Nothobranchius furzeri: one gene and its partners. The protein of the gene in region 1 interacts with the protein of each later gene in a biochemical or structural test. Links are inferred from orthologs where the notes say so. Each region holds a gene or a part of one and is shown in the gene's direction. Other genes may lie near its edges. The genes, in order: bmpr2b, bmp2b, gdf5 and bmp4.

Region 1 (7,741 bases):
TATCATTATTAATGTCCTTATAACCACATTTGATTGTTGTATAAACACAAATACTAATTTATTTTTCGACACAATTTAAGTCAGACCAGTAAAGTTGCTTTATTTAAAAAGTAACTAATTATATTAACAGTTACTGGTAAACGTAGCACCGTTACTGCAACACGTTATTACCCAACACTGCTTATGGTCAGGAGTTTGGATAACAACCAAAAGAACAAGATCGTGAATACAAGCGACCAAAATGAGTTTCCTTCGTAGGTTGAGTGGGCTCAGAGACAACCCTTACCTACACGTCACAGCATTTGTCTTGGTTAATCCAGTTTAAATCCAGACGTGGTGCTCTGATATCATCACCTTGAGGTGGTGAAAACCAAAAGATCCACCAATACCTGGGTCTGGTTATATAAAACAATCTCCACCATGTTAACTGCTTGGCTTTCTCATTCCCATAATGTACAGGCTCTTCCTAACAGTGAAATTGCTTAAAGTACTGATTTTAGCAACGGACTCCTTGTTATATTAGCCAAATTAATCAAAACATTTCACTAATTTAATCAACCATCAGCTGGTGGGGCTGCAGCTGTCAGAGGCTGATGAAAGGAAGGAAGTGGCTCCAACCCAAATAAAGTTAACATTAAGTAGTTTGTTACGGTTGTGGTGGAGACGGCGAGACTCTAGACAAAAGAACAATCCAAACCACAGAGCTGTGATCCACGAGGAAAACGCCGGGCTTCTCAATTCAATTCTGTTTATTTATATAGCTCCAAATAACGACGAGTCGTCTCGAGGCACTTCACACAGTAAACATTCCAATACAGTTCAGGTCATTAAGCCAATCAGTTAAAAGTTTCCTTTATAAGGGATCCAGCAGATTGCATCGAGTCACTGACTAGTGTCAGTGTCGTTACGGCAATCCTCATACTATCTCAGAGCTCTGGATGCTGTTTGATTTTCTGTGAATCACTGAGTTAATTCCAATCAGCACTGAGAAGAAATTATTTAATAGAAATAATAGAGTAACAGATTCAGATAAGGTTGTCTCCTGACCTCTAGATGCATAGCATTGATCCATTTAAACAAAAAGTTGCTAAAGGCTTTTATATATTATCAGCATGCAGCCGTTTGTCTCAAACTTTTTAAAATGTTTTTCTTATTGTTTACTGGTAAAACTCCTACAAATGCCCTCAGGTGCTCATGAATGTTAATGAGGATGCACCTCCAAGCTGCTTCCCATCCAAACCTCCAGCTAATTACAGTGGGGCAAAAAAGTATTTAGTCAGCCACCGATTGTGCAAGTTCTCCCACTTAAAATGATGACAGAGGTCAGTCATTTTCATCATAGGTACACTTCAACTGTGAGAGACAGAATGTGAAAAAAAATCCATGAATTCACATGGCAGGATTTTTAAAGAATTTATTTGTAAATCAGGGTGGAAAATAAGTATTTGGTCAATAACAAAAATTCAACTCAATACTTTGTAACATAACTTCTGTTGGCAATAACAGAGGTCAAACGATTACTATAGGTCTTTACCAGGTTTGCACACACAGTAGCTGGTATTTTGGCCCATTCCTCCATGCAGATCTTCTCGAGAGCAGTGATGTTTTGGGGCTGTCGCCGAGCAACACGGACTTTCAACTCCCTCCACAGATTTTCTATGGGGTTGAAGTCTGGAGACTGGCTAGGCCACTCCAGGACTTTCAAATGCTTCTTACGGAGCCACTCCTTTGTTGCCCGGGCGGTGTGTGTGGGATCATTGTCGTGTTGGAAGACCCAGACACGTTTCATCTTCAAAGCTTTCAGTGATGGAAGGAGTTTTTGGCTCAGAATCTCACAATACATGGCCCCATTCATTCTGTCCTTAACACGGATCAGTCGTCCTGTCCCCTTAGCAGAAAAACAGCCCCAAAGCATGATGTTCCCACCCCCGTGCTTCACAGTAGGTATGGTGTTCTTGGGATGCAACTCCGTATTCTTTTTCCTCCAAACACGACGAGTTGAGTTTATACCAAAATGTTCTACTTTGGTTTCATCTGACCACACGACATTCTCCCAATCCTCTGCTGTATCATCCATGTGCTCTCTGGCAAACTTCAGACGGGCCTGGACATGCACTGGCTTCAGCAGCGGAACACGTCTGGCACTGCAGGATTTGATTCCCTGCCGTTGTAGTGTGTTACTGATGGTGACCTTTGTTACTGTGGTCCCAGCTCTCTGCAGGTCATTCACCAGGTCCCCCCGTGTGGTTCTGGGATTCTTGCTCACCGTTCTCATGATCATTTTGACCCCACGGGATGAGATCTTGGGTGGAGCCCCAGATTGAGGGAGATTATCAGTGGTCTTGTAGGTCTTCCATTTTCTGATAATTGCTCCCACAGTTGATTTTTTCACACCAAGCTGCTTGCCTATTGTAGATTCACTCTTCCCAGTCTGGTGCAGGTCTACAATTCTTGTCCTGGTGTCCTTCGAAAGCTCTTTGGTCTTGGCCATAGTGGAGTTTGGAGTCTGACTGTTTGAGGCTGTGGACAGGTGTCTTTTATACAGATAATAAGTTCAAACAGGTGCCATTAATACAGGTAACGAGTGGAGGACAGAAACGTTTCTTAAAGAAGACGTTGCAGGTCTGTGAGAGCCAGAGATTTTCCTTGTTTGAAGTGACCAAATACTTATTTTCCACCCTGATTTACAAATAAATTCTTTAAAAATCCTGCCATGTGAATTCATGGATTTTTTTCACATTCTGTCTCTCACAGTTGAAGTGTACCTATGATGTAAATTACTGACCTCTGTCATCATTTTAAGTGGGAGAACTTGCACAATCGGTGGCTGACTAAATACTTTTTTGCCCCACTGTATACCAGGCATAAAAGGAGCCTGTTATGCTTCGCTCTCATTAGTTTAATACACATCGTCATGGAAACGCAGCACAAGCCAGGACAGGAGTCGGAACACATAATGTGTTCAAGTAAATTATTAATGTGATTTATCCACAACTACCAGATCTAAAGTAGTATTCTTTCAGAGTGATGAACTTTTCTCTTTGTGATCCATGAACCAACTAATAATAAATGATCAAGGTTACCAGGAGGGCAATCAAGAAGGAAATTAAACATTTCTGGGATAATGCTTTATTAAAGTGGTGATTTATAATCACAGTAGGACAGTATTGTTTCATGTCATCCCTCTTCATGGTCCTCAGGGTTCTGTAAGTCGCTACCTGAGCATCCAGACCAACGACTGGGTCAGCAGCTGCCGGCTGGCCCACTCTGTCACCCGGGGCCTGGCGTACCTGCACACGGAGCTCTGTAAAGGAGGTAAGCTGGTGGACACACAAACCACTCAAACCTTACTGGGATCATATTCTAGGGCTGCTACCGGAACATAAACTGAAAAAAAGAGTTGTGGTGGCAAAGCTTTTAGTGTGTTTGGCCCCAGTAGACCTAATCGTTTACAAAGGGTTTAGATTAAGGAAGGAGTGACATCCAGGTAGGCTCTGATTCAGCTGGTTGACCTCAATCAACCTAACAGGAAGTAGGATAATATTAACAAATTTATGGTCAATACAAAAATATAATAATACAACCAAGAACACTGAATAGTACCGGGGTTTTTATTGGTTTTACTACCACATGGCTGCCACCTCAAACCATGAGATGTGAAAAGCGTATAGTTCAAATAAAATCTAACAAAATAAAATCTATAAAATTCATCTTATCAAATATACTTGTATCTTGTAATAACATATTGACTGCATTGTTATGTCCTCAATTATAGGTTTTGGATAAAAGTGTTTGCCAAATACGGAAACATAAAACCAGAGTCATCCACATGGAGATATCTCGGGTTTTCAACATGTAAAACAAATCTTTGGACCTGAGTCCAATACCTCCCTGAGCTTAGACTTTTAGTGATGAATTGTGAACCATATTCATGGGGAAGTTTCCAGAATACATCAAAACTTTGGAGATGTCTCAGTTTCCTTGTCGATCAGAGAATCTCACTCTTGTCACTGCAATTTTGAACAAGTTCCAAAACAATTAGCGAGTTTTCTGGAAATTGTCTCAAACCTGTTTGAAATGCCTCATATCCATCTCAAACCTCAGCCCTGTCCTAAACACCTTAAACCTGTCTGAAACCCATCTTGAATTCCACAAATCTGTCTCAAACCTGTCTCAAAACACCTAAACCTGTCACCTAAACCCATCTCGAACTTCTCTTCAACTTTCTTTGATTTGTCTCAACCCCGTCCCAAATCTTTTTGTCTCGTCTGAAATCTGTCTCAAACCTGTCAGACACTTCTCAGTTTAGTTTTTGTGAGTCAAAGATGAGAAAACTACTTCAGCTAAGATTGTTGATCACTTTGTGTACATAATTAAGACACTTTCTGATTAAATTTAAACAAGAAATTTTACACAAATATCACACTGTTTGAAATTGGTCTCATGACCCAAACACATACATGCACACATACAGACTTACATTTTCAATGGTTATGATTTTACAGCATCTTTTTTTAAATCTTTTATTTCATTCACAATGTATAAAATAAACACAAACAAATACAACATACATTAACATATTGAAAAAAAAACATTTGAATGAAAAGGAGCAGATAGAAGAAAAAAATCTTATGATTTCTGCCCCTTTTTACAAAATAAAATTATCCGCCAAACAAACACAGTATAACCTCAGTCACTTTCTAATATTTTCACGTCTAATCTTTGACATTATAATTCACCTTTTCATAATTACTAAATACATTAGATTTTATACATTTTTTAAATGTAGCAAGTGTAGTTGATTCTTTAAATTCCTTGTTAATGGTATTCCACAACCTTACACCATTTACAGAAATGTTACATTCCCTCACTTTGGTTCTGAATCTAGGTTTCTTAAAGACATCAGTTCCTTTTAACATGTACCCACTTACTCTCTTATGAAACATTTTCTGAATATTAGTTGGTAGATTACTCGTATTCGCTCTGTACATTATTTGCGATATTTTCCACTCTACCAAGTCAGGAAATTTCAGTATTTTGTATCTAATGAATAATTTATTAGTGTGATCTCTATAGTTACTGTTATTAATGATTCTCAATGCTCTTTTTTGCAAAATGAACTGTTCTGTCTGTTGGGGTGAATTGAACATTTTTGTTTACATTTGAAATGAAAATATTGTCTTTAGGTTGTTTATTTGCAGAGAGCAAATGGTCAAAATAAGATGTCAGCAAGAGTGATTTGATCCACCCGTCTTCCTCTTGCTCACAAAGATATTGCAGTTGTTTCTACTTGTTTTCCTCCTGATTTAGTGTCTCCGGCAGTAAAAGACTATAGATGAAGTTTATTATTGTTTAACAAAAGCAGAGAAACTGTGAGTCCGTGATGATTCAGCAACTCTTCGTCTTTGTGACTTTGTCAGTCATATATGTGGTTGAGATCTGTTCTCTTGACTTGCGTTGGTTTGAGGTTTGGTGTACAGTTGACCTGATGTGTTAATGTTCTTCATTTTAACACTCGACACCTGAAAACTAAGTTTTTGTGTCCGGAAACATTTAAACAGTAGAGTCCAGAGCGAGCCTCCACGTGAGCTGTACATGCAGCGCCACTCGGGTCTGTTTGTCTTGTAGAGTTTGTGTTTTGACAAACAGTCAGTGCACGCCCAGCCGAGGGTATTTTTAGCCTTCCCTCGAGCGAGCCACAGAGAGGAAGCAGAGAAAGGAACATGCTACAGAGGTAAATAAAAGGTAACTTCACTCTGAGAGGTCAGGACTCTGCTGTTTCCGTCATCTGTCAACAAATGGTCGTCAGATGTTCCTGTTCTCTCTCCTCATTAGCACAGATAGTCGTCAGGCAGACTATGCAGTGAAAAGAGAGGAGAGAGAGCTCAAATCAGTGCCATGTGTAGCTAAAAAGTGACTCTGGGAGGTGAAGTGATGAGTAGATAAGAGGAAGGACTGTCTTAAAGAAATCTGCAGGATCTCTGGGGCTTTGGTATGGTAGTCTTCTCCCCCACTCCTGCACATCACATCTCCCTGGTGACTGTGTCAACCTCCTGCTGCCTCGCTGCGCCCCCTGCTGGTCACACACCTACACAATCATCTCCTCTTTGTTTTTTTAGACTTGTACAAGCCTGCCGTGTCCCACAGAGACCTGAACAGCAGGAACATTCTGGTCAAGGCCGATGGCACCTCTGCCATCATCGACTTTGGCCTGTCCATGAAACTGACAGGGAATCGTCCCACGCGTCACGGGGAGGAGGACAACGCTGCTATTAGCGAGGTGAGGAGAAAGGACTGCACCGCATCAGGGATTTTAGGATCTCTCATCACTTGTAGCCCCGAACGTTCAGTCATTTACCTTTGTTTCATCTTTTCTTCTCTCCTCTGCAGGCGGGGACGGTCCGCTACATGGCTCCGGAGGTTCTGGAAGGTGCGGTGAACCTGAGGGACTGTGAGGCAGCACTTAAGCAGGTGGACATGTACGCTCTGGGCCTGGTCTACTGGGAAATCTTCATGAGATGTACCGATCTGTTCCCTGGTGAGGAGAGTGCCCTATGGGCTACGTCTTTAAGGGTGTTCCATTCAGAACAAGCCTCATATGTGTGATCTGTGTCTAAAATCTGATCCGCCCTGTCTCCATTGGTCTGTAGGAGAGTCGGTGCCAGATTACCAGATGGCCTTTCAGGTCGAGGCAGGAAACCACCCGACGTTTGAGGACATGCAGGTCCTGGTGTCCCGGGAGAAGCAGCGGCCCAAATTCCCTGAAGCCTGGAAGGAGAACAGCCTGGTACGTGTTTGATAGGAACAGAGCCACAGTCGCATGAATCTGGGATTTAATCAAAGCGTCCGACTCACAATAGGAGGAATAGATCTTTCCTGTTTGCTTTTAAACTAATTAGAGGATTTTTTGAATTAGCTTTTGTTTTGTGTTAGCTTCTGGGTGGAGGTTGCTTCTGTTTGATATAATCATATCCAGAGCCTTTGGTTTGGAATCTGTGTGATTTAACTACTCCCACCCCCAGGCGGTTCGCTCCCTGAAGGAGACCATGGAGGACTGCTGGGATCAGGATGCAGAGGCTCGCCTCACAGCTCAGTGTGCCGAGGAGCGCCTGACAGAGCTGTTCCTCATATGGGACCGGTCCAAGTCCGTCAGTCCAACCCTCAACCCCATGTCCACCACTCTGCACAACGAGAGGTAGCTAGACTCAGAATCACACACGCCAACACGAAACTGTTTCACATCTCATTTCTTCCTGTCGTTGAACAGAAACCGCATGACTCCAAAGTCGGGCCCCTACACTGATCATCCTTCCTCCTACATTGAAGAGCAGGAGGGGGTAGCTAAGAATATGCAGGTGGACAGCAGCAGCGCTGTAACAGGCAGAGCTGGAGTCGGTGCTGGGGAGAGGAACAGGAACTCCATCAACCAGGAGCGTCAGCAGCAGGCCAATGCCCGTCTGCCAAGTCCAGAGAGCAGCAGCACCAGCATGGGTCTGAGAGGCAGCCCCTCAGCCTCCACCACTACCACCACCATCCTCTCTGAGTCAGAGGGTCTCACAGGGACAGCCACAGTTCCCGTCTGCCTACACCTGACCCAGGAGGACCTGGAAACCACCAAGCTGGATCCTAAAGAAGTTGACAAGAACCTGAAGGAGAGCTCTGATGAGAATCTAATGGAGCACTCACAGAAGCAGTTCTGCTCCCCCGACCCGCTGAGTCCCGGCAGTTCCAGCCTTCTCTA
Region 2 (8,300 bases), about 52 Mb from region 1:
TATTTATAATAATAATAATAATAATGCATTGAACTTATATAGCGCTTTTCTAGACACCCAAACACGCTTTCACACACTCTCACATTCACACAGTGCCAGTGATGGTAAGCTACTTGTAGCCACAGCCGCCCTGGGGAGGTCTGACAGAGGCGAGGCTGCCATTTGGTGCCGCCGGCCCCTCTGACCACCACTAACACAGGCAAGTTGGGTGAAGTGTCTTGCCCAAGGACACAACAGCAGGATACCCCTGGCGGGAGCTGGAATCGAACCCATGACCCTCCGATCATGAGGCAACCCGCTCTACCACCTGAGCTACCGCTGCCCCAAAAGGACCAAATGGCATCGTTTCCTTTACCTTTTAACAGGTGAAAGTGGAAATACAATTTCTGCTATTGTTCTAGTTTATTCTGACGTTTTCTTTTAGTTTGGAAATGACAGAGAAGCATTAAAATTATTTCTGGACAAATGTATGAAGACATTAAAACAGTTTTTATTCTCAGGGGGTGAGAGTTTATTAATTACCTGAAGTTCAAATTTGGAAAAGGTCGAAATAACAATGTTATTTCTCTTAATTGTTTTGTGTGTGTGACTCTCTAAAGAACATTTCAAGTTATTCCAAGTTATTTATCTAGTTTATTTTTTTCATATTTTTCTCTTTTATGGTTGATATTGGTTGTTTGTGGTTACTTTAGTTCTTATTTTTTGTATTTTTTCTTGTTGAAACCATTTTTCCCCTTTCTGTCACAAAGAAACCTTCTACCGGGATTACTAAAGTTCACCTGAATCTAGTTATATTAAGTAAAAGTGTGTTTAAACGTCTGCAACATTTTCTGTCAGAACTAAATGCTTCTGCTCTAACTCATTCTCTGCCTTTGACAACTAAAGTCGTCATTTGCATGTTTTTACTGAGTGGGCGTTGGAACGAGCCCCCGCACCAGGAGAACAAACATCCCAGCTCTAAAGCCGATCTTCATCCGCATACGTCACACGTCACTTGACCTGGAAGCAGAAAATTCATGTGTTAGGAGATCGTTTTGGGCTGCTGTAATAAAAAAGCGAGACGCAAACCGGAAAAACTTCTGACGATCACAATTCGACAACGGATTATGAAAGAACGGATAACGTTCAAAATGTGCGGATTCTTCCTGATGTAAGAGATGAGTCTCCATTTTGTTTTGGTTGTTTTGGTTGTTTTGGCGTTGGCATCATCGTGGAGCGCACTGTTCTGTGACTCTTCCAAAAAACTTTGAAAACTCTAAAAAATGCTGGCAGTGAAGGGCTTCTCTGACCAGGAAACGGCTGGCAGTGAATGAGTTAATAATTAAGAAGCTGACAGAACCATCAAGGTTCAAAATTGTGTTGAAAACCATCCAATTTATTTTAAAATCACAGAAATCAATTTGTATTTATGTTTAGTAGGCCGGTCCAAACTAATCTCTGTTTCACCAAACTAAGGCTGTTCAAAGAACAGTCTACAGACTATTACTGTAAATATAAAAATAAGACATTTGTAGTTATTTCTTTCTTTGTTTTATGTATTTATCTTTACAAAAACCAACGAGAGTTCAAAATAATGGTCAGTTACGACATTGCCACAAAACGTTCAGTCTTTATCTTATTCCACTGATTCATAATAATTCTTAAAATACAAAATGGTTTCACTCGTGAAGCAAAGGCATACATATTTAGACCTTCCGTTGAAGGGGTTTCAGGTAATGGCAAAGAAATGTCAACAGGTGCGCCATATTGGACGGATGACGTCAGCTGGGAAGAGCTGCAGGTTTAACAGGTTAAAAGCAGTTTAGGGTTTACATTTTTCAAATGAATTGATTTTTTTTCTTATCCGTGGCAACAAACCTCAAGTTTGATCATTTAGAAACTTGATAGTTAATTAACACAACTGTCCTTTAAAAGTGATAAAAAATGATATTTTGTTCATATAACAGGAAATTAAGAGGTTGAAAGGAATTGGTTTCGTCATATTTATTACAAATTAACCCTTTGATGCATGAATTATGAAATCTTCAACCATGATTTTTTAAACTTTTTTTTCATTCATCTGTAGGTGTGAATGAAACAAATTTCAGCAAATATTATTTGTAGTATTTTGTTAATTTACAAATAATTTATTACATGTCCATCTCAGGGGACAGCGTGCATTCTGAACACGAAATATGTTGGCTTGACTTACTGAAGTCCAAATGAAGGAGCTCAATTGCAATAAAGTCTTCAACAGCTGTAAAATAAACAAATAACAATTTTGAATACCTGTCCACTGTATAGTGACCATTATGCATCAAAGGGTTAATGTAAAATTATATGATGAAGCCTGTTTATTCTTTCTATTTGGTTGATTTAAGTAATTCCTTAATAACGTGTTGTGTTTGCTAAAAGGAAAAAACTGTTAATAACTGCAAATGTCCCACATAGTTCATTTTTCTCACTACATTTTGCATTTTGATCATTGGCAACCTTTTGAATCTCAAATGCACTGAATCTATTTTGGCAAAACAAACAAACAAAAGTACTTGTTTGTCAAAAGAAGCAAACAAAAAGTACTTTTTTTTCTTCAAATATGCTGAGTACACATTCTGAGGGGAAATACTTGGTTAAAAATTGTAGTAATAAACTCAGCTCATAAACTCCTGCCAGCTCTTCCACCTGTTCTTGGTGGTCCTGTTACAGATTTTAATCCAAATCACATTTGTAGATGTTTGCTGAAGGGGAGAGGAATAAAGTTTAAACAGTTTTCCATTGTGAAGTTAGAAATGAGGGATTTTTCTCCTGCGGGAGTTACGCACAGGAAGTGGTGCGGTTTGGACAGATGACTGACAGCCCAGTGACATCACTGTAGGACAAAAAGCGTCGCAGGGGAAAGAGAAGGCACCAATCAATAGACCCGCTCCGGAGAGCTCTCCCTCTCCGAGCACCAACTTCACTGCGCTCATCTCTCCACGAACATCGCGCGACGCTCCACGTTTCTCCACTTTCAGCTTTTCTTTTTTCTAATTTTAAAAATGTCCAGACAAGCTTCCTCGCACTTAGTTCGGCTATGCCTGCGCGCAGCCGCTTCCTCGTAGACTTAATTTTTCTACTTTTTTTCTTTCCTCTCCGGACTGAGCAAGACCCGAACCCGACGCGCAGCTGGTGAGAATATGTGCGAGAAGCGATCGGCGGAGGGCGCGGGCTGTTTTCGGTCCCCCAAGCAGAAGCAGCGTGGATTAAACACGAATTAATGTGGAATTTATCGGAGCTTAAAGGTGGAACGACGACCGGACACCGCGCGTTCTCGTCAGGTAAATCGCTAGAATAAAGAATAACCATCGATGTGGAGGTTTTAACCTGAATCCGCACTTGGACTGAACACAGAAAGGTCACTTCACAAGTGACAGCTCATTTGTTTCTAATAATAAATTCGTGCGTAAAGCCTCCGCCTGTTGAGCCACGGAGAAACAGAAAATGAAAATAGAGGTAAAAGTTGTCTGTGTGGAAGTTGTTTGACTCCGTCTGTGTTTCTGATGCCTGGCTGTGGGGCACACGTCAGATCTAACACCTGCAAGCCTCTTGAAGTAACTATCCTTTATGATTACATGCAAACAGCGCGCAGTGGGACTGGAACTGATGCGTGTTCTTCCTTTGATCCTTCTCTCTGCATGGACTTTCATATCTGCAACAAGATCTCTTATCTCTTCTCGCTGGAGACCTTTTGTCTGCAGCGTTTCCCTTCAAATCCTTTGATTTGTCTGTTTAATCCACCTCTGTCATTAGTTTTTCACCTTGATATTTCATGTTAGGGTTCATGTTCAACCCAAACTAGAGGAGCAGTTTAGCCTCTGGGTTTTTCTTTCTTTCTTTCTTTCTTTCTTTCTTTCTTTCTTTCTTTCTTTCTTTCTTTCTTTTTCTTCTGCACTTCAAAGTGAAGAGGTGTCTCCCCCTTTTTAACCTGCTCCCCTTCAGTTTTACGCTCTGAGGGGGGATTTGGGAACTGCTGCCGCGAGAGCCTAGCTGGGACCACCTCACGTCAATACCACATTGCCTGCCAGTGTATTGACAGAAACCAACTTTCTCCACAGGGACTGACTGATCATGGTCGCCGTGGTCCGCTCTCTCATGGTACTGATGCTCGCTCAGGTGCTGCTGGAAGGTGCTGCGGGACTCATCCCCGAGGTAGGCCGGAGGAAGTACAGCGAATCCGGGAAACAGACCCCTGAGCAGTCGGAGAGCTTCCTCAACGAGTTCGAGCTGCGGCTTCTCAACATGTTCGGGCTGAGACGCAGGCCGACCCCCAGCAAACAAGCCGTGGTGCCCCAGTACATGGTGGACCTTTACCGGATGCACTCTGCGAACGGAGACCACAGCACTAAGCGGCCCAAGAGCATGGGGAAGCACGCAGAGAGAGCCGCCAGCAAGGCCAACACGATTAGAAGCTTTCACCATGAAGGTATATATTAGTGACATACCTTTACATGTCTCTCTCAGACAGCGCAAACCTATATTTAAACATGACTCAGATCGTCAACACTGAACTTCAGAGTCTTCCCTGTTTTCTGAAGGTTTAGTCATTTACAGATGACATGCTCCGAAGGTATTTGCAACCTTAAAAAATGCTTTAACTTAAAGATTGATGCACAAAAATCACATCAAAGTTGACTTTTCTCACCTAAGCAGCAGTGCAACATTTAGACAAACATCCCTCCAGCACAGCTGTCACAGGCTTCAGAAACATCAGGGGCGGCGGTATCCCCGGGGTCATTAGTTTCTTAATAATTGATGGTGTTTGCGTGGGATTCTGAAAACTGTTTTTCCAGACACGCACCACGGGAGCAGCATAAAGGGCGGTGCGCCTGTGCGCAGGTGATAGACGTCACCCTGCAACTTCAAAAAACAACCGACATCAGAGCAACACACACGATGACGAAGTCACCGTGTCAGACTGAGTCACCTTTAACAAGACTCAAATTAGCTCTTGGTAACGCCGTAGAGGAGGCGTGGCTTCCCTTCTTCCTGTTGCTTCCAGTTGTGCATCATTACGCGTGAACCAGTTTGGAGAAGACAGCGATAGTTGAACTACAAGTCTCAGTTCAGTTGAATTTAAAAACCTATATTTAAACATGACTCATTCACCTCTCGGATGAAAATAAACGTTTTGCAGACTCTGGATCAGCTGTTAAAATGTGGATTTAAACAGTATTTTAACAAAGTAAATGATGCTTTGTTTATAACAGCTTTAAAAGCAGGAGCACTCGATGTTTACGTTTTTGTATAATAAACATCTTATTCCCGGTATAGTAGATTTGCACATCTATTTATCTTAATGTGACCCACGTTGCTGGGTCCATTGGGGCCCTGCGCAGAGTCCTCATACAGAGTCCTGTGTTTGAGTGGAGAAGTTTCTTTCCATCAGGGGTGAGTCAGAGGGGTGGTTGAGTGGTTGCTTGGGTGCTCTCCAAAGGCCTAGTGCAATGACACCAAGTGGCTACACTGACACACTACAAACAACCCTGAGCAGCAGGGTTGAGTGACTGCTCCCAGCTCACCGCTGGAAACCTCTGCACTCAGCCAACACACGTTGACATTTACACGTCTTCTCCTGGCTCTTTTCGTCCTATGCTAACAGCCGCGCGGTTATTAGGCTTCCCGTATCGCGTCGAGGGATTGTTCCCCCTGTAATAAGCACGGATCTACAGATGTTAATGCAGCACATCAAAGCAAACAGCTCCAAGCCTTCGTCACGTCTGCCACGCCATGCTCCTTTCGCTCGGACAATTGGTTTTCAGGAATAACTCGAGTCAAATAGAGCCTTTCCACCGTAGCACAGGACGCAGCTGCCAGAGATGGCCGATCCAATATTAGCATCTATCTTTTGTTTTGGCGAGTGGCACAAAAATAAAGCTGTGGAAATCTGTGGTTCGCGTGCTTTTGACAAGCATAAACTTGTTCACACAGCAGTTCCAGACCGAGATCGAGAACAGTTGCAGAAAGGAACTGAGAAAACGGTGACAGAGAAGACAAGAGAAGAGGATCTCTAAAAGGACGGAGGGGAAAGAGGGGGATTTGGGTGCTGATAAAAAACAAAAAAAGAAGAGTAGGATTGGGTGAAGAGGAGCGAGAATGAGAGAGGGGGCTTTCCCACATCAAATGAGTAGTGATGGGTCTAATTGAGGTCTTTGTGCCTCTGGAGGGGGGTTTAGGACCAGATCGTGGAATTTCCTAAATGGCTCCTTTGAACAGATAAGAGTTTGAGGTTTGCGCTACTTTGCCGCACAAACCAGATTAAACTGCATGTCTATGGCTTGTCTATGATCTGCATGAAGTAAAAGTTCAAAGCAGGGCCGCCTCAAAGCAAATTGTAGCTTTTACCAACACTTCTGCCATTTGCACCACAGAGGGGAATGCCAGCGGACTTAAGTATACGCTTAACAGTCACAGGAGATGGAAAAGAAGGCCCTTCCACGTTTCTGGCTGATAGAAGAGTCTAAAACATCTGTTTATTGATTCTCTCTGTTTTTGCAGCCGAGTGTTTTAAATGCAGCATTCTCCAGGTGGCTTAAGATTTCCATAAACGCTAGAGTGACATTTGAGGATTATGTTTTCACCCTTTCTCTGCGTCCCGCACTCGTCTTAGATTATCAATGAAGTGAAGGAGACCTAAGTGAGCCGTGTCGAAGCAGGGTGATGGCTTTGCTTCATCTTATCAGTAAATGGAAGTGCATCGCTTTAATCCTTTGACATTTAGCCAGGCGATTTAAAAAACCCGACAGTGGTGACGGCATTGCGTCATAATGAGCATTTGCCTGCTATTACGCTGAGTCATGCATGCAAAGGCTTGATATACTATGTGTTTTACCTGCTTGACAATGGCCCACACCCACTCTCTGAATCAGAATCAGAAGTTTTTATTGCCATATGTGTGCCAAGTCACAACATTAGGAACTTGCTGTGGTATTTTGGTGCAGAAGGTAAGATAGAAAAAAAATTAATTAAGAGATAAGCAAATATAACTAATGACTAAGACTCTGTGACCACGTGACAGCTTCACTGCCTGCGCAGAAGGAAATTCTTTTCCTGCTCATTCGCGGTTTATTACGCCAGCAGCTACTCGAGGCGTGTGCCGGTTGTCATTCTTGTGTCGTACGTGAATTCTTTGACACATCATTGGAATGCATTTGAGAACACCGTCATCTGACATGCTGGATCTGCCTTTTGTTCTCTCTAGAGTCCATGGAGGCCCTGAACAGCCTGAAAGGCAAAACAACCCAGCAGTTCTACTTTAACCTCACGTCTGTGCCCGATGAGGAGCTCATCACTTCTGCGGAGCTGCGCATTTACAGGGATCAGGTGATGGGAGCAGCAGCCCCCAACAACAGCAGCACTAGTGGTGGTGCTCCTTCCGGTGGCTTCCATCGTATCAACATTTACGAGATATTCAGAGCTCCCGCCGCTGACGGCGCTGAACCTCTAGTACGTTTGCTGGACACCCGGTTGGTGCGGGAGTCTTTAAGCCGCTGGGAGAGCTTTGACGTGAGTCCTGCTGTTTCTCAGTGGACCTCAGGGAATGGCCACAATCACGGCTTCATGGTGGAGGTGTTTCACCCGGAAGGAGGTGAGAGTGACGCTGAGCATTCCCAGAGACGTAATAGGCATGTTAGAGTGAGCCGGTCCCTGCATCAGGACCAGGACTCGTGGCCTCAGGCTCGGCCCTTGTTGGTGACGTATGGCCACGATGGCCGTGGGGACTCGGTACTCCACACGCGGGAAAAAAGGCAGGCAGCACTCCGCAAACAGCGCAGGAAGAACCACAATAAGGCAAGCTGCAAAAGGCACGACTTGTATGTAGACTTCAGTGATGTGGGATGGAACGAGTGGATAGTGGCTCCCCCTGGCTATCATGCCTTCTACTGCCAAGGGGAATGTCCCTTTCCCTTAGCAGACCACCTCAATGCAACCAATCACGCCATCGTGCAGACTCTTGTCAATTCAGTCAACTCGAACATCCCCAGAGCCTGTTGTGTTCCCACCGAACTCAGCCCCATTTCGTTGCTCTACCTGGACGAATATGAGAAAGTCATTCTAAAAAACTACCAGGACATGGTGGTGGAGGGCTGCGGCTGCCAGTAAGACCTTTTTGGGTATGGATGCAAAAATGGTGAACACACAACACAAAGACTGGAAGTGATTTTAGGTTGCTATGGACACCCAATATCCCATTGAAGATGTTTATTTATATGAAAACACAAAACAGAGCTATTGTGGGGGAAAACTATATATGAATATATTTATGTCTACTTAAAGTTGGGAAA
Region 3 (8,178 bases), on another chromosome or scaffold:
ATCTGATGTTAGCCTAGATCTGGACAAGTGGGGGAGTAGAGGGAGGTGGAGTGTACAGTCGGTAAAGACGACTCTCCCTTGCCCTGCCTCCAACATGCCTCCATCTAAAAGGCTAGGTTATCCAGAGTGATCTCTGTAGTTATGCTGCTATAGGCTTAGACTGCTGGAGGATGCACTGACCACTTTCCACACTCGTCTACTTTCTTCTACAATTTGCTCTTTAACTGTATTATTTCCAGCTATTTCAGCTGTTAACTTGATTTTTTCTCTATGTGTTTTTCTCCCCAGAAGAAACTACAATGATGTTCTGCTAAGCTGTGGTGGCCTCATGGAGGAGGCCATCGTCTTGAACACTGTTGCTAACTACTTAATCATTCCCCCTCTCCTGATAATAACATTTTACTTTCCTTGACATTGAATGTGCTACTACTGGTTTACCCGTTTAATTATACAAGATTCATTAGAATAAATACAATAAAGTTTATCTCTCACCAAATAGAATATTTACTAAGAAATCACAATGTAACCATAGAAACACTCCTTGGTGTGTGTGTTGTATGTGTGTGAGTGTGTGTGTGTGTGTGTGTGTGTGTTAGGGGCTGCATGACTTCATTTTTTTTAAAGTCGACCGTCAAGTAATGAAAATCGAGTCAACTTCGACTAGTCGTTGATGACGTCATACACCTGAAGCGGCTAAAACCGATGATGGGTGACCAAGTGCTGGAGTTTTTGACAATTAAAATTGCGCCCACATTTTCAAAGTTAAACACATCTCTTTTAACAATGGTAGTTTCTGCATCTTGCTTCAGCCCTCTCCCCCCACCCCCTGTGCAGTGGCCGCAAACTCACTGATGCGCCAGCAGCCTCCCAGAGTTTCTGCTGCTCTAAACATTAAAATAATTATTTCATTTTCTGTTCCTCACTTCTGATTAACCTTCAGTGGTGTTTGTTTGTTGCAACCACCAGGTATAAAAATGAACTTGTTTTTATTTGACTATTTTTCTGTCCTGTCTCTGTTTATTATCTTCCTGCGTCTCCTCTCAGTCCTAAAGAAAAACTGCCACCTGGGTTCGTATATATTCACCTCATGAGTTACCTTTGAACGGCAGTTAAAAAAGATCTACCGACCGCAAAAATAGCGGAGTGCGCACCTGCCGCACCGGTGAGGGGCATCACAGGAGGACAAAACAGGTGATGCGCTCCGCTCCACGGCAGCAAAACGCATCAGGCTCAAATAAAAGACAGAAAACATGTAAGGAAATGAGCCGACACGAACGATCGCGTGTTAAATTTGTTTTTCAGGTGGCAACACCTAATTTGAAAATGTTACTGTAGCCGTGTTCAGGACGCAGATGTCTGGAGCGCGTCAACGATTAGAGCTTTGCATGCGCAAGCTGGTTAAGATTAGGATGGGGGTGAGGGGAAACACAGCGCGTCGGCTCCCAACGCGCAGGAGCTCGTCACCTGCTGTCTTGTCCGAGGACTGCATCTTGTCGGTCATAATCATGTGACAGCGACTAGTCGATGACAGGCATAAAAAGTCACTGCAGAGCAGTGAAGTGGACTAATCGACTAGTTGATACAACCCCTAGTGTGTGTTTCTACTCTGTCTTCTCCATCCCCAGTGAGTCGTGGCGGATGGCTGCTTATACTGAGTCGGGAACCTCTGGAGGTTTCTTCCTAATAAAAGGGAGTTTTCCTCTCCACTGTCGCTGCATGCTTGCTTAGTATGAGGATTGCTGTAAACAATTTGCTGGGTTCCTTATATAGGAAACTTTTTTCTGATTGGCTTAACGAATTTACCTGAATTGGAATGTTTATTATGTAAAGTGCCTAGATACGATGCTTGTCGTGATTTGGCGCTACATAAATAAACTTGAATTGAATTGAAATTGAAAAGTTAAATAAGAAGATGATTATGAATCAAACCCCCCCACCCCCATCCCCCCTTCCTCGAGCAGCTGCTGACGAGCCAGAAGGTCCAGCTCCTTGTTGGTGTTGGAAACACAAACACACACAAGACTGGTGAGCTCACTCGTGTAAAGTTTGTGAACATATAATCACCCAATGAACAGCATCAGAATGTTTTATAGACTCCCACAGCTCTCTCTCTCTCTCTCACTCTCACTCACACACACACACACACACACACACACACACACACACACACACACACACACACACACATCCAGGTCTCTGCATGCGTCCCGGGGTCTCCAGGCATAGCCGATACTCAAGAGCCAGTAAGAGTATACTACATGGTCATTATTCATTCCTCATCTGTGTGTGTGTGTGTGTGTGTGTGTGTGCACGTGCGTGTCTGTGTGTGTGTGTGTGTGTGTGTGTGTGTGTGTGTGTGTGTGTGTGTGTGTGTGTGTGTGTGTGACGACCAAATAGGTCACCTGACTTTCATGGTTCTGATTACTGTTTAAGGTTCTTGGATGAGGTTTAAGTCCTGAACTCCTGACCCAGGATCAGAGCTGAAGAACATCTTAAAGGAACAGGAGAAGAAGTCCTGTTTTGTTTCTTCATCCTACCTCATCAGAGTTTTATTTCCGCTCTGAACTCCATGCAGATGAAAACATTTCTGAGTCAAAGTCATGGTTTGTTTCATCAACCTGCCACTTTACCTTCCTGTGATGTGACTTAGTGAGGGTTTGGCACCAACAGCAACTTGAAACAGGAAAGAGTCTTTTGGCTCTTTGGTGCAAAACCTGCAGCAAAAGTTAAGCATGACTAATGGTGAATGAATGGAGCCCATTTGGTCAGCCATGACATGTTAAAATATTTAAAAAACAAGAATCTAAACTTCTCTCTAATCTGTAGACTCATGACTTTATGAAAGGTTTAATGCATCTTTTTCCATATAATCATCTGAGGAAGGAGGTCAGATGTGAGGGTTGCTTTTCTCTACTGAATTATCAGAGGCTTCACTCAAGCTAATGATTAGTCCTAATTTTAATCTGAGTTTTGGGGTCTTCAGATCAAACCTCAACAGATGTCTACGTGTTCTCCAGCTTGGGACTCACCTTCAGGGCTTCATCTCATTGTGTTTTATAAAGTAACTGGAGCCTCAGTCTCCTTCATCTGGCCTTAGAATAGGAAACATCCAGCTGCTGCAGCTCTTCAGAGCCACACAGATGTGTGTGTGTGTGTGTGTGTGTGTGTGTGTGTGTGTGTGTGGGGCAGCAGTAGCTCAACAGGTTGAGCGGGTTTTCCAGTAGTCGGAAGGTTGCAGGTTCGATCCCGGCTCCGGACAGAGAATTCTGCTGTTGTGTCCTTGGGCAAGACACTTAACCCAGCTTGCCTGCTGGCGGTGGTCGGAGGGACCAGTGCTCGGCAGCCTCAACTCTGTCAGTGTGCCCCAGAGCAGCTGTGGCTACATCGTAGCTCATCACCATCAGTGTGTGAATGGAAGAATGATACACTGTAAAGCGCTTTGGAGTCCTTACTCTGGCGGGCGCTATACAAAAGTGGGTCATTTATCATTTATCATAATTTGTGTGTGTGTGTGTGTGTGTGTGTGTGTGTGTGTGTGTGTGTGTGTGTGTGTGTGTGTGTGTGTGTGTGTGTGTGTGTAAAAGAGGGAGGAAGATGTGGGCTGAATTATCACTGTTAAATGAGTTGGGACAGAATGACATCACGGCGTAATTAAAGCCGCTCTCTGGAATTCCTGCTCAGGTCTGCTGCAGGATTCTGGAGCACCTGCGGGTTGTTGTGTGTGAGTGAAATATTTTCACTGGACAGAGTTCAAGCTTTGGAGGGAAAGAGAAAAAACGGAGGCAACCGCATTACGCCATACTCTCCTCACATGGAAAAAAGAAGTGGGATTTAAAGAAGTTGTTACATGGTACCAAGCAGAACAGTTCGCTGGAGAGCAGAAGACGGGTCCAGGTCTCAGAGTCTCACCTGTCCACCATCAGCAGTATGGTTCTGACACCTGACCCTGACCAAATGACTCTTTTAACCCTGTGAGAGTCAGACCCCGTTTCTCTAGCGTTTGGGAGCGAGACGCGCATTTTGGACCTCACGGGTCTGAGGATGAGAAAGGTCACTGAACTTCCCGCGCTCCTGGTGTCGGCTCAGCGGGTCAGATCGTTCTGAAGAGATTTATAGACGATGTGCCAAAAGGCTGCAGAGATTTAGGATGAGAGTGAAGAATCTTCCCCTTCTGCTCAGCTGGACGATAGTCTTCCTGCATCCCGTCCGCGGTTCGCTCAGCAGAACCAGAACCACCTTGGAGCGAACGGGAGGAACCGCTGGCTCTTGGAAACCAGCTCCTCGTGTGCGCGTGAGTGCGCTGCCGACCACAGGTGAGACGAATTTTGCCAGTCAGAAACCAGCGGGGATCTCCGCTGCACCGGGGAGGCTGGACCAGCCGCAGCAGGACGGAGCGCAAAGATCCGCGTGCAGAGAGGCTGTGTGCTCCTGGCGTCCCGCCGCTAAGGCACGTGTTGAAGCGCACGCGCCCGCAGCTGTTAACGCAAATGCTGCCAGGAAAGGAACTGAGACGTTTGGAGGAGGTGGCTCACCGGGGAAAGCCGCTTCCAGGGCGGGCGCAGCAGCCGCCGCTGCGCGCAGCGGGTATGAGCAAAAACAGAGCGCGGCTGTGGAGCGGGGCGTCAGCATCAAGTCACCGAAACCAGGCGCCAGGCAGCCGGTGGTGACCCCTCACGACTACATGCTGTCTCTGTACTGGTCACTGAGCAGCGGAGACGTGAACAGCAGCGCGGCTCTGGCCAACACCATCACCAGCTTTGTGGACAAGGGACAAGGTAACTGTCTCTGTCCTCTATAACGAAGACTATAGGCTTTCAAAGGAACAGAAAGAAAGAAAGAAAGAAAGAAAGAAAGAAAGAAAGAAAGAAAGAAAGAAATGAAAAACTGAATAACTTTCCTAGGATTTGGATCCAGTTCTGGGATCAGATGGTTTGGAAGCAGCAGAATGTTCTGTCGGTCATGTTTCAGTTGTAGGGAAACATCACTGCTGCTGCTCACACACAAACCTTACTTAAAACCAACCATTTAGTTCTGAGTGAAGATTTGGTGAAGGAGGGCTCTGTAGACCTCCACAGATCTAGGATCAGTAGGAGAAAGAACAGGATCTGAAGGGAAGGCCTGTGATTGGTTTAGCTCATACTGGAATAAAAGATATTTTAGTGTTTGCATTGAAAACTGTTCTTCTCGACCTCTAGGGTCCCCCAGGGTTCAGTTTTGGGTCCTTAGCTTTTCTCGATCTACATACTTCCTCCAGGCATCATTCTAAAAAAACTTAGTAAACTATCACATTTAATGCCTGGCAAGCCCGACTAAATAATATATTATTAAGTCCGGCAACACTCCATCGATGGCTCTCGGGCTCTACAGTTGCCTTTCAAACGATCTCCCGCACGCTACTGGACAATGAACAACGTGGCATACTCACCACAACGGATGTCGATAAACGAGGTTGTAGAAGGTAAAAATACATCCTTTTTCTAAATAAACAACTTAAAAACGTGTATCTGCTCCTGGTTCAATAAAGCCCAAGTCCCAATAGTCCAGAATTAATGTAAAACCCATTTAAAATGAGCGGTCGCCATTTTTTTCCACTCTTGCATCATCCCGCCCACCAGACAAACAGAGGTCCGTGATTGGTCCACAAAGCAGATAGGTCACTGTGACCGGCCCACCATTGTGGACCAATCACAGCGCTCTATCAGTTTGAAACCCCTCTAGAGAGCTGTGATTGGCCAGCCAGAATGCTGCTAGGGGCTGCAGAGGTTCTAGTGGAGCGTTCCTAGACCAAAGTTTGGTCTAGTTCACTAGACTAGTTCTGGGCTAGTTCACTAGGCTACACATGTATGCAGATGACTGACTACTACTATGTCAGCCCAAGCTCTCCTGCAGTCTGTGTTCAGGATCGTTCCTCTGTAATTAAAACCTGTTTTTCCTCTAATTACCTTCATCTAAATGAGGACAAAACCAATGCTATTGTAATAAAAGTAGCCGTGGGCAGCACGGGCAGAATATCTTGCCCTCCGGTCAGAACCTGAACACACCACCAGTAGGCAACGACTTATAAAAGACACACTTTATTGCACAACCAATAATAAAACACAACGATAAAACACCATGGCCCAAGCCCTCTCTTGTAAAACCAACTGTCCAGCATGAGTCACGTAAGCAGCGGTACTTAGCTGTCACGGATGGTGTGACCCCCGTCCCCGGGGTCTGAGCTTCCAACGCCGTCCAACGCCCCGGGGTGTAGCTTGCGAGGACGGCGGGTAAATCCACAACATAAGTCCACTGCCAGAGTCCGTAGCGGCAGATGTCGGCGCGGCCTTGGCATCACCTATGCCCAGCCCTAACTGTCTAAAGAAGGCGACCAGCCTTCCCTCCTGGCGCTGGAACACTAAACACCTGTTCAGCTATCTTCGTCGCCGGCAGCCCTACCCGGCTGCGAACGACCCCTCCCCCCAAAGTCCGATGCCACAATGACAGGTCGACCACGCACCCCTCTCAGCAGACCTGTCACCTTTTTATCCTCCCTGGCCTCGTTATCCATAACGAGGACCAGCTGGTGTCCAATCACCACACCCTCAGAGCCCGGCAGCTTCCGTCTTCTGCCCATCACACTCTCCCCTTCTTTGTCCTGAAGGACTCGCCCTCGAGTCCTAGATCTCCACATGATAATCCTTATGCCAAACAGGGGGTCTCCTCTGACGAACCACGCGTTGCTCCACAGCTCCAGGTCCCTCGACCTTCTCAGGGATACGTCCTCCCGATCCTCTTCCAACCGCACCCCCTCGAGCAGCCTCTCCATGCAATGGGGCAGGGTTGCTTGAATCACCGGAGCCCTTCGTCTCCGAAAACCGTTGAGCACTCCTGCTGATGTCCTCCCAGGTGGCATCCGGCTGATGAACCACCCGCTGTTCCGCACGTCTGTCGATCTCCCCAGGGAGACGTCCTTCCGGTCCTCCTGCAGCAGCACCTCCTCGAGCAGCCTCTCCACGTGATGGGGCCGGGTCACTTGCGCCGCCAGACCTGCTTGTCTCTGCAGACCGTCGATGAACCCTGCTGGTGTCCTCCCAGGTGGCATCCTGCTGACGCAGACTCTGCCGCGCTCTCTCTCGGGACCCCACAGCCATCGGTGCTGCAACTAGTGGAAGAGAAGTGCACGGCTTAAGTCGGTTGAAATGAATCACACTCTCAGGACCCCCCTCAACGGGTACTAGCCTGTATAACACGTCTGTCACCTGCTCGAGGACCCTAAACGGTCCCCTATCTCGCCTCTGAAGCCTGGGACACACCCCTCGTCTCCTCAGCTTATTTCTGACCCACACTAAGTCACCTGCCGCGTAGAACCGGCGGGAGGCCCTAAAATCATGTGCCCTCCTTTGTTGCACCGATGCTCTGCCCTGATGGCACTTCACCGCATCCACCATCGTAGTGAATGTTTCCTTCAGCCTCGTCACATACTTGTCTACTGAGGCAAAGGCTTCACCTATCCTGGCCTTCAAGTACCCAGCATTGCCTCTTCCTACAGGGGTCTCAACAACAGAGAAGGGGGCGGGCATTTGACCCACGATACACGCCCCCTCTAGTTTCCCTGCACGTAAGGGCAGTCCCGACGTAAATGCCGGTTACAGCCACACTCCCAGCAGCCTCCAAACCTCTCATTTCCTTCCCTCCGGGAATATTCTTGCCTAGGCTGCAAGTTTGTGTTCTGAGCGTCACGACGGTGGGGACTAGATGCAGCAGGTACTGACAGTGTGTGCACCACTTCCTGGAGGGATTTCACCTCCTGTCTCAAGCTCTCAACCACCCCCATTAGTGAAGCAATGCTTTTATCATCAGCATCTTTCACAGTTATCCCCCTCACTCTTGCGTCCGATACTGAGCTGGTCTCCAAGCTCCTAATGAGCTCAAGCTCCGCCGCCAGGTCGATGGCTGCTTCAAGCGACGCGGGCTTGGCGCTCCGTAAACACACTCTCATGTCTCCATTCCCCACATGAGCTATAAACTGATCTTTAGCCAACATGTCTCGTATATTGGGATCCACTGTCGGATAAGCTTTAACGACAGCCCGTCGTAATGCCATCCCAAATTCTCGGACACTTTCATTATGCCACCTGCGTCGAGCGGAGAAAACAGCCCTATTCCAATCAGCGCTGTCACACGGATCCAAACACTTCC
Region 4 (8,264 bases), on another chromosome or scaffold:
TTTCGGCTTGTTTTTATAACATGTATCTGTTTTTATGTGCGTATTTGCATCCTGAGGTCAAAAGTTGTGCATGTGCAGTCATGTCTCAATGCGTGATGCATCAACACAAATCCTTCTGAAGCATCGCTGAAACATTAGGCAACGTAAACATTCCTTTGGAGAACATGTGATTTTTTTTGTTATTGCAGGTATTTAGAAAAACGTGTAATCCATGCATAGTTAAATGACCCATGAAACTACACAGAAACATTACATTTCTTAGACAGTTCCAGGATCAGCTTGGATTATTACAACTTTTAAGGGATGAAAAGCAGCAAATTTGATCAAAACAATTTGCTTGACAAACATCCCTAATTTGATGGTGTTGAAATGCACCCATCACTTGGTGAAGATATGCAGCAGATGAGTTAGAAGACGCAATAATAGAAATACTAAAATAGCCTCAGGGAATACATTTAATTACCTTTGCAGATTTACAGATCTCAACTCAACCCTAACCCTAACCCAAATGGGGATGATCCAGAGATATTTGTAATGGCAAAACACACTTTCTGGTTGTCTTTTAATTACTGTGAAACCTGTACCTTGGGTGCATTGGATATTGTATTAAATCACAACACTACAAACAGAACACTGAATTTAAAAAAGTATTTTGAAGCTATAAAGTTACAATTAAATCAAAGGTCAGTTTCATTAAAAATAAAGCAAATTTTGCAAATTCATGAAATTTGCAACATGTGCACCAAAGGAGCAACACATGGGAAACACAAACAACGGGAATGGTTTTGCAGGTAGAGGACAGGGACATTGTTCTCTCTTCATCTTTTTTGGATGTTTTTTATTTAGTTTTTGGTCATTTTATCTTTGACTGGAATCATGAGAAACCTAGACCCCACAGAGGTTGCACAAACAGGCTTAAACCACCAGGATGGCACAACAATATGTAACTATTGCCAGAAGATTTAATGTGTCTCCTAACACAGTCAGCAGGGCCGCTGTGTGCTCATTTGTGCAAGGTGGACGAGTCCTTCTAGAACCCTAAAGTGACATCAAGGGGGCCTCTGGTGTAAATGTCTCCGACCAAACCATTAGAAACAGACTGCATGACTGTGACCCAAGGGCCGGAGGTCCTCTAGTGGGCCCTGTGCTCACTGCCTGGCACCGTGGAGCTCCACTGGTATTTGCAGGTTCACTCTGAGCTCATGTGACAGACCTGAAAGGGTCTGAAGAAGCCACGGTGAATGTTGTACTTTCTACAACATTGTTCAGCATGATGGTGACTCAGCATTAGTCTGGGGAGAACATCCATAAACATATGTCTGTAGATGATGAGCGACAGCACCCTGAACCTTTTGCTGTTGCAGTGGATCATGAGTTCTTCCTGGATGGTAATATCTGGTCTCATCTGGTAAGAACATGCAGGCACTTTCTAGAGGATGAAGGACTTGATACCATTGACTTACACACCTGATCTAAATCTAGTGGGACATCATGTTCATGTCCATCAGACACCACCAGGTCAGTGATGAGGGGACTCTGAATGAAGAGAGAGGTAGTGTAGATCATTTTTGTTTTGATCAAATAATGTGTAGCTTGATTCCCCCCCCCCCCCCCCCCAAGTGAAATCTGATGTATTTTCGAAGTGTTCCATTACATTTTTTATAATGAATGACATCCTGAGAGTCAGGAGCAAGAAAAAAAATCAATGATTTCTGCTGTTGGTGTAAAATACACATTTGGGACAAATGAAAAAACAACCAAGGTTTGGACCATCCATCCATTTTCATCTGCTTATCCGGAGTCGGGTCACAGGGGCAGTAGCCTAGGTCGAGAGGCCCAATTCCCTCTCCCCAGCCACTTGGGCCATCTCCTCCGGGGGAATCCCAAGGCGTTCCCTGGCCAGGTGAGAGACATAGTTCCTCCACCGTGTCCTGGGTCTACCTTTAGGTCTCCTCCCGGTTGGACGTGCCCGGAAGGTTTAGACCAGGGGTGTCAAACTCATTTTAGCTCAGGGGCCACATTGAGGGAAATCTAGTCCCAAGTGGGCCAGACGGGTAAATAAAAAAAAAAACTTCAGATTGTTTTCTTTGTTTTAATACAATCAATATAAAACAAGGCTGGAGCCTGAGGACAGTGTATCCAAAATAGGACAAGTACAACACCTGAAGTGTACTTGAAAATTTGAAAAAAAAAAAAATCAATAAATAAATAAAACATTCCTTAGTGATTCAAAGTGCTTACAGATCACATGGCTAGATCAGTTTCATGCAGCACTTAAAGCAGGGGTGTCCAATCCTGGTCCTCGAGGGCCGGTATCCAGCACGTTTTCGTTTTAAACTGTTTCAACACACCTGATTTCAATCAGCAGGTGATTAACCGGCTTCTGCAGAGCCTGATGAGCTGCTGCACAGGTGATTCAACCAGCTAATCAAGCGTGTTGAAGCAGAAAAACCACAAAACCTGCTGGTTACCGGCCCTCTAGGACCGGGATTGGACACCCCTGACTTAAAGTATATTTGACTCATTTTACTTTACATCTTTTAGCTTTCACCAGCACATCAATATCAGAAGTCACATCCTGAGTGGCAGCCAACTTCAGGATGTGATCCAAGTTCTTGTGTGAGTCTTGAGCACAGCTTTGTTTTATTTATACTCATTACAGAGAAAACTTGCTCACAAAGATAAGTTTATTTTCACTATATTGTAAAGTATGAAAATAAAGTTTACACAACCATCTCGCGGGCCGGATTTAACCTGTTTGCAGGCCGGATCCGGCCCGCGGGCCGCATATTTGACACCCCTGCTTTAGACCTTGCTAAGTTATTGTTGTAATTGTGTGTATTGTCTATTCAGGCCCAATGTAAAACCCTAATCCTAACACTGAAGAAACTTTTTAACAAAGAGTCGTTTTAAATCCTCGTTTTTCCTGATTAAAATTCACTTTATAGTATGTTTGTCGGAATCAACGAATAATCTTGACATTTTTAAATAAGTAAATAAATGTACACAAGTGCATTTAATTATTTTTAATTAAGTAAAACACTGCAAATGGCTTTAAAGAGTAACAGAAAGTTTTAAGGTTTTGTAGAAGTAAAAAAATATATAAGTATAAAAACTGTAGGGATCAGAGATGCTGGATCATTTGTTTTTCTTTCTTTCTTTCTTTCTTTCTTTCTTTCTTTCTTTCTTTCTTTCTTTCTTTCTTTCTTTCTTTCTTTCTTTCTTTCTTTCTTTCTTTCTTTACTTAGGCAACTTATTTATTTATTTTATTTATTTATTATTATTCATAGGACAATTAAACATAAAACCATTGAAATAACACTTAATAGTAAGCACTTGAGCATGCCGTGATAGTTTAAAATGAAAATTTTTAGGGTTTTGTTCTTACGCTTTTAACCGTTTTGTATTCACCTGTTAAGATGTGTTCTTCCCAGTTTTTTCCCCCGGATCTCTCCAAACCAGTTGCCTCTCTCCAGAACATTTAATATATATATATATATATATATATATATATATATATATATATATATATATATATATATATATATATATATATATGTATATATATATATATATAGACTCTGTTTACGAAATGTGTTACAAATAAAGCTGCCTCATGTAATATATATATTTGTATATGTATCTATATATATGTATATGTATATATACATATATATGTATTTGTGTGTATATAAATACATATATATGTATGTGTATATATATATATATATATATATATATATATATATATATATATATATATATATATTACCTTTGTGTACGAAATGTGCTACAAATAAAGCTGCCTCACGTCAATTTTTTCTAAATAAAATAAAATGCGCGCAGCCTAGGAGAGATGGGTGTGTGTGTGTGTGTGGGGGGGGGGGGGGGGGATGTCCGAGGTGTTGGGAGACTGGGTCGAGGAGGAGGTGGAGAAGGAGGGGGGGAGGGTGAATTGGGCGTACACATAAAAACTGTAGGGATCAGAGATGCTGGATCATTTGGAGAGCCTTCCCGTTCTGCGCATCGCCCTCCCTCACCGACTGTCGTGGAGACGGACGAAAGAGCCAGATAACCGGCCTTTACAGCTCACATGTCCGCGTCGGGGCGCCACTAGAGGATTAATGAGCCACAAAGGCACCAGACTTCTGCTTGAAGGCGCATTTTGGTGTTTTGCAGCGTGACGGCTGGAGTGTTTTATCCGTCGTTTCCAGATTCACGAGAGGAAACCTGGACCTCCACTGATGGTAAGAGCTCCTCTCAGCTGACAACTACACATCAGTAAAGGAGAATTTAGAAACAGGACCAGAAAAATAATAAAGAACGAACTCTATGGAGGATTTAATGGGTTCTATTATGTTGATTGTGGTATTTCTGCGCGCGTGGAAGATTTTTTTTTAAATCCCAGAAAGAAATAAAACGTGTTAAGGTGATTTAAAAATCGTTAACTTTACTTTTATTAGTCATTTAGACATAAAATAAAACTAAACCACAGCGATAGTCAGCTTGTCACTGATTTCTTTCTGCGTTTTTTTGTGTGTGCCAAAACTTTGCGTAAAGACAAGTGAGTGAGGTCATTTCCAAACAACGCGTCAGATTTCCGTGTGGTTCTCTTTCTCCGTGACAACTTAAACATTTGTTTTCAAACTCTTTCTGTTTTCCAGCGCGAATCTTAGCTCGTAAACCAATCTGGACACGCAGAAATATGGAATAAAATCACAGGATTGCGCTCTGAGGGATCGCATTAATTAAAATAAAGAAAATAATCATTTGTCACTCCTTTTATTTGTAAAATAATTTAAATGGTATGTGTATTTTCAGTATAGTCTGCTATCAAAAGTGTATTTTTATTTGTTTTAATAATCAACTGTTTTTCTTTTTTTGTCTAAACTGCCAACTTGTAAAAAAATTAAAACGGGTATAAACATAGGTTTATATAAATAAATGCTAGCATAACTGTTCTATATTGCAGGTGTGGAAATGAAAATGTACCATTAAACCCAGTAAAAGACAGAAAAGCTTGGCCTCTGGACATGTGGCTCTCAGTCTGAACCAGAACTGCAGGTCTTGCAACATCTGGGGAAATTTTTATTACTTGTGTTTAGATTAACAAAAAAGGAGAAAACAAATTAAATTAGTCAAAAAAGGCCAAATGTGTCACATCTGAATTCTTGGAGTGACTTCACCGACTGTGAATCTTATAAAATCCACAACTTTTGTTCATTATAAACCAGGAATTTATGAAGTTTTTCTTTCAGAGATTTGCTTCATTTCTGCATAAATAAATAAATAAATAAAAAGAAAATGCAGCTTCCAACCAACTTATTCCAACTTGAGGCTGGAATATAAACTAATGATGCACAGTGCCGGATGTTAACTCACATTAGAGTTTACACGTGATGCAGCTCCGGGGTTGCAGATGTGTTGTTGCAGACTTTTAAACAAAAAATCAGACTTCGATCTGTTCTTGTGGTAACCTGCTGCACTCCTCTCTCCCGCCCTTAGTGCCCATCTTCCCTCCCACCATCTCTGTCAAATTTCTCAAGAAACACATCTGAAGAGCCATGTGCAGAGCCTGACCACTATCTGTGGTCAGAAAGAGACAGAGGAAGGGAGGGAGCGGCTAAGCTGACCGCTGCGGCCTAACTGCACCCCGAATCTGAAAATCTGCTTGCCTTAGCTCCACTTTGCTTTTTATTGTTTAATTCAGAGAAGAAATGTGAATCTGGAAAGTGTGCACGCTCACATACGCAGGTTTTCCACTGAAGAAAGTTACCCTCCTATCACTTTTTCCTCTTCTTTCATCATCATCACACCACACTGAGTGTCTGTCTGCTCTGGCCTGCACTTTTGCTGGTTACAGTTACAAGATGAGCTGTATGGTCAGTGTTTTTGAGTACTATGAATCCCTGCAATCATGAAAGAGGCCCTCTCTGTACAATGAACGTTTGTTGTCAAGGATGCACGCACACACACACACACACACACACACACACACACACACGCACGCACGCACGCACGCACACACACACACGGAGTTCATCCCTGCACCCCATGGGTAATAGAGCTGATCATGTTCTGAGCCCTCCTCTCTCTCTCTCTGTGCCACAGTTCTCACGAACATGCGAGCGGTGGTACACATTCGCGCGCAGGCGAGCTGGGCTCGTGCACCTGGTCCTTGCCTCACACACACTGGATCCGATGACATGAACGAGAAAGGGCGGGGGGGTCAAGCCGAGGTCACTCTAATGCTGTTATAAGAGAAAGAGATCTTTGATTGCATGCACAGTGAGCCGTCGAGAGCCTGAGATATTCACACCGATACCCAACCAGCCGGCGTACTGTAAAACATACAGACTGTGGATGCTAAACCTTCTCTCTCTCTCTCTCTCTCTCTCTCTCTCTCTCTCTCTCTCTCTCTCTCTCTCTCTTCTCTCCTCTCTCTCTTTCTCTCTCTCTCTCTCTCTCTCTCTCTCTCCCTCTCTCTCTCTCTCTCTCTCTCTCTCTCTCTCTCTCTCTCTCTCTCTCTCTCTCTCTCTCTCTCTCTCTCTCTCTCTCTCTCTCTCTCTCTCTCTCTCATGCTTGAGTGAACAAGCCCCAAATGAAGATCAAAGACATATGTTACTCTGGAATTTAATCTGGGGTGCTGTTGTTGTGGTCACTCGGAACCATTTGAACCATTTAACTCTTTAAATAAAACCTAAAAGCTGAATGTTCTAGTCGTCGAAACGCCAAAACAAACAATTGCTCTAGTTTTTGACAGCCATGTTTGACATTTTCAAGTTGAGGAAGCTCTTTTTTTTCTTTACTTTAAAAAAAAATTCATAACAAAAAGCGAGTAGGTGCCAAACTGAAAGCTTATGCTGCAAATGGTTGAGTCATTGTAGATTCGGAGCTATTAGAACATCATCTGTCACCTTTTTAGTCCAATTCAGCTTTTGAATTCAACGAAAAAAATCCTAAAAATGTAACTAAATCTAACAAGGTGTTAAATTTCTAATATCTCTCGGATGATTGAGTAAATGTTGATCTTTCTCTTGAGATAGGAGAAGTCTTGTGGCACATACCTCCTTACATTCCAGTTACAGCAAATAGCAGCTTCCCCACAAGCCAAAATGATAAGCCTTAAAGAGACACAGGGTCTTTCTCTCTCTCTTTCTCACACACACACGCACGCACGCATGCACACACACACACACACTCTGCTTGTCTTCACGTAAATACAAAGTAACATCCTCTCAAGTGTTTGCAGACGCACTCAGATTAAGGTTTCCTCCGTGTTTTGGACTATCTTTCAGGAACAGGGTCACTCCAACGCTCTCCTGCAGCCTCCCAACACCACCTAACATTTCCTGGAAGAACGTGTCCACCTCCTGCTCCCAACAAACATGGACTGTTTCCCCATGCTTTATTTTCTGTCGGTGAGTACGCTAACTCCAAGTCCGAAGAGGTCTTGGGTTTGGCTTGTTGGGGCAGACTTTGAGGGACGCCGGCTCCTCGTTGAGTTAAGAATTTGTTTCTACCCCCAAGGCCGCCTCTTTTATTTGTCTGATCGTAGGAGACGAGTGGAAAGGGGTGGAGGGAGGAGGAATGGCCCTTAAATTGCATTTAAAAAGTTGGGAACCGGCTGTTTACCTTTGGAGGATGTCGCCAAAGATAAACAGCAAGTGGTCCTGGACTGTAAACGAGACAGACGGGAATATTGAGGGTAATTATTTAGCCTCGAGTGGGAATACAAAAAGAAAGTTTTGTGAAAAAATGTTGGAGCCATAGTACTCTAATATTTAACGTAGAAAAGTGAAGATAATTAGTTTAAATTTGTAACGTTCCATATCTTGTTTATCCTCCCAGAGACATCATGATTCCTGGTAATCGAATGCTGATGGTCATTTTAATATGCCAAGTCCTGCTGGGAGAGAGCAGCCATGCTAGTCTGATACCTGAAGAAGGGAAAAAGAAAGTACCTGGCCTGCAGGGTCGCTCGGCCACTCAGAGCCATGAACTGTTGCGGGACTTTGAGGCCACGCTGCTGCACATGTTCGGCCTCAAAAGACGTCCACGTCCAAGCCGCTCCGCCACCGTGCCTCAATATCTTCTGGACCTCTATCGGCTACAATCCGGGGAGGCCGAGGAGCTTGGAGCGCATGGCATCGCTTTTGAGTACCCGGAGAGGTCGGCGAGCCGGGCCAACACGGTGAGGGCCTTCCACCATGAAGGTAAGATATTTTGGAAAAGCACTGAAAAGACTAGAAGCGATTTAAAAA

Evidence for each region.
Region 2: the proteins of bmpr2b (region 1) and bmp2b form a complex in vitro, tested with the Homo sapiens proteins (4 studies listed by BioGRID and IntAct, with this or other methods). The link is inferred for Nothobranchius furzeri from reciprocal best matches to the Homo sapiens genes BMPR2 and BMP2.
Region 3: the proteins of bmpr2b (region 1) and gdf5 form a complex in vitro, tested with the Homo sapiens proteins (2 studies listed by BioGRID and IntAct, with this or other methods). The link is inferred for Nothobranchius furzeri from reciprocal best matches to the Homo sapiens genes BMPR2 and GDF5.
Region 4: the proteins of bmpr2b (region 1) and bmp4 form a complex in vitro, tested with the Homo sapiens proteins (2 studies listed by BioGRID). The link is inferred for Nothobranchius furzeri from reciprocal best matches to the Homo sapiens genes BMPR2 and BMP4.

What each region holds. Positions count from the first base shown.
Region 1 is NC_091742.1:74,240,702-74,248,442, forward strand, and holds part of bmpr2b (bone morphogenetic protein receptor type-2), read left to right. Parts: intron 1-3,200; coding exon 3,201-3,315; intron 3,316-6,119; coding exon 6,120-6,280; intron 6,281-6,390; coding exon 6,391-6,538; intron 6,539-6,650; coding exon 6,651-6,787; intron 6,788-7,022; coding exon 7,023-7,195; intron 7,196-7,267; coding exon 7,268-7,741. UniProt on the Homo sapiens protein: On ligand binding, forms a receptor complex consisting of two type II and two type I transmembrane serine/threonine kinases.
Region 2 is NC_091742.1:22,690,739-22,699,038, reverse strand, and holds the start of bmp2b (bone morphogenetic protein 2b), read left to right. Parts: upstream 1-3,118; 5' UTR 3,119-3,296; intron 3,297-4,073; 5' UTR 4,074-4,086; coding exon 4,087-4,441; intron 4,442-7,216; coding exon 7,217-8,118; 3' UTR 8,119-8,300. UniProt on the Homo sapiens protein: Growth factor of the TGF-beta superfamily that plays essential roles in many developmental processes, including cardiogenesis, neurogenesis, and osteogenesis. Induces cartilage and bone formation.
Region 3 is NC_091743.1:78,133,028-78,141,205, reverse strand, and holds the start of gdf5 (growth/differentiation factor 5), read left to right. Parts: upstream 1-3,603; 5' UTR 3,604-4,147; coding exon 4,148-4,775; intron 4,776-8,178. UniProt on the Homo sapiens protein: Growth factor involved in bone and cartilage formation. During cartilage development regulates differentiation of chondrogenic tissue through two pathways.
Region 4 is NC_091758.1:25,532,705-25,540,968, reverse strand, and holds the start of bmp4 (bone morphogenetic protein 4), read left to right. Parts: upstream 1-3,975; 5' UTR 3,976-4,247; intron 4,248-7,298; exon of another isoform or gene 7,299-7,304; 5' UTR 7,305-7,421; intron 7,422-7,851; 5' UTR 7,852-7,858; coding exon 7,859-8,216; intron 8,217-8,264.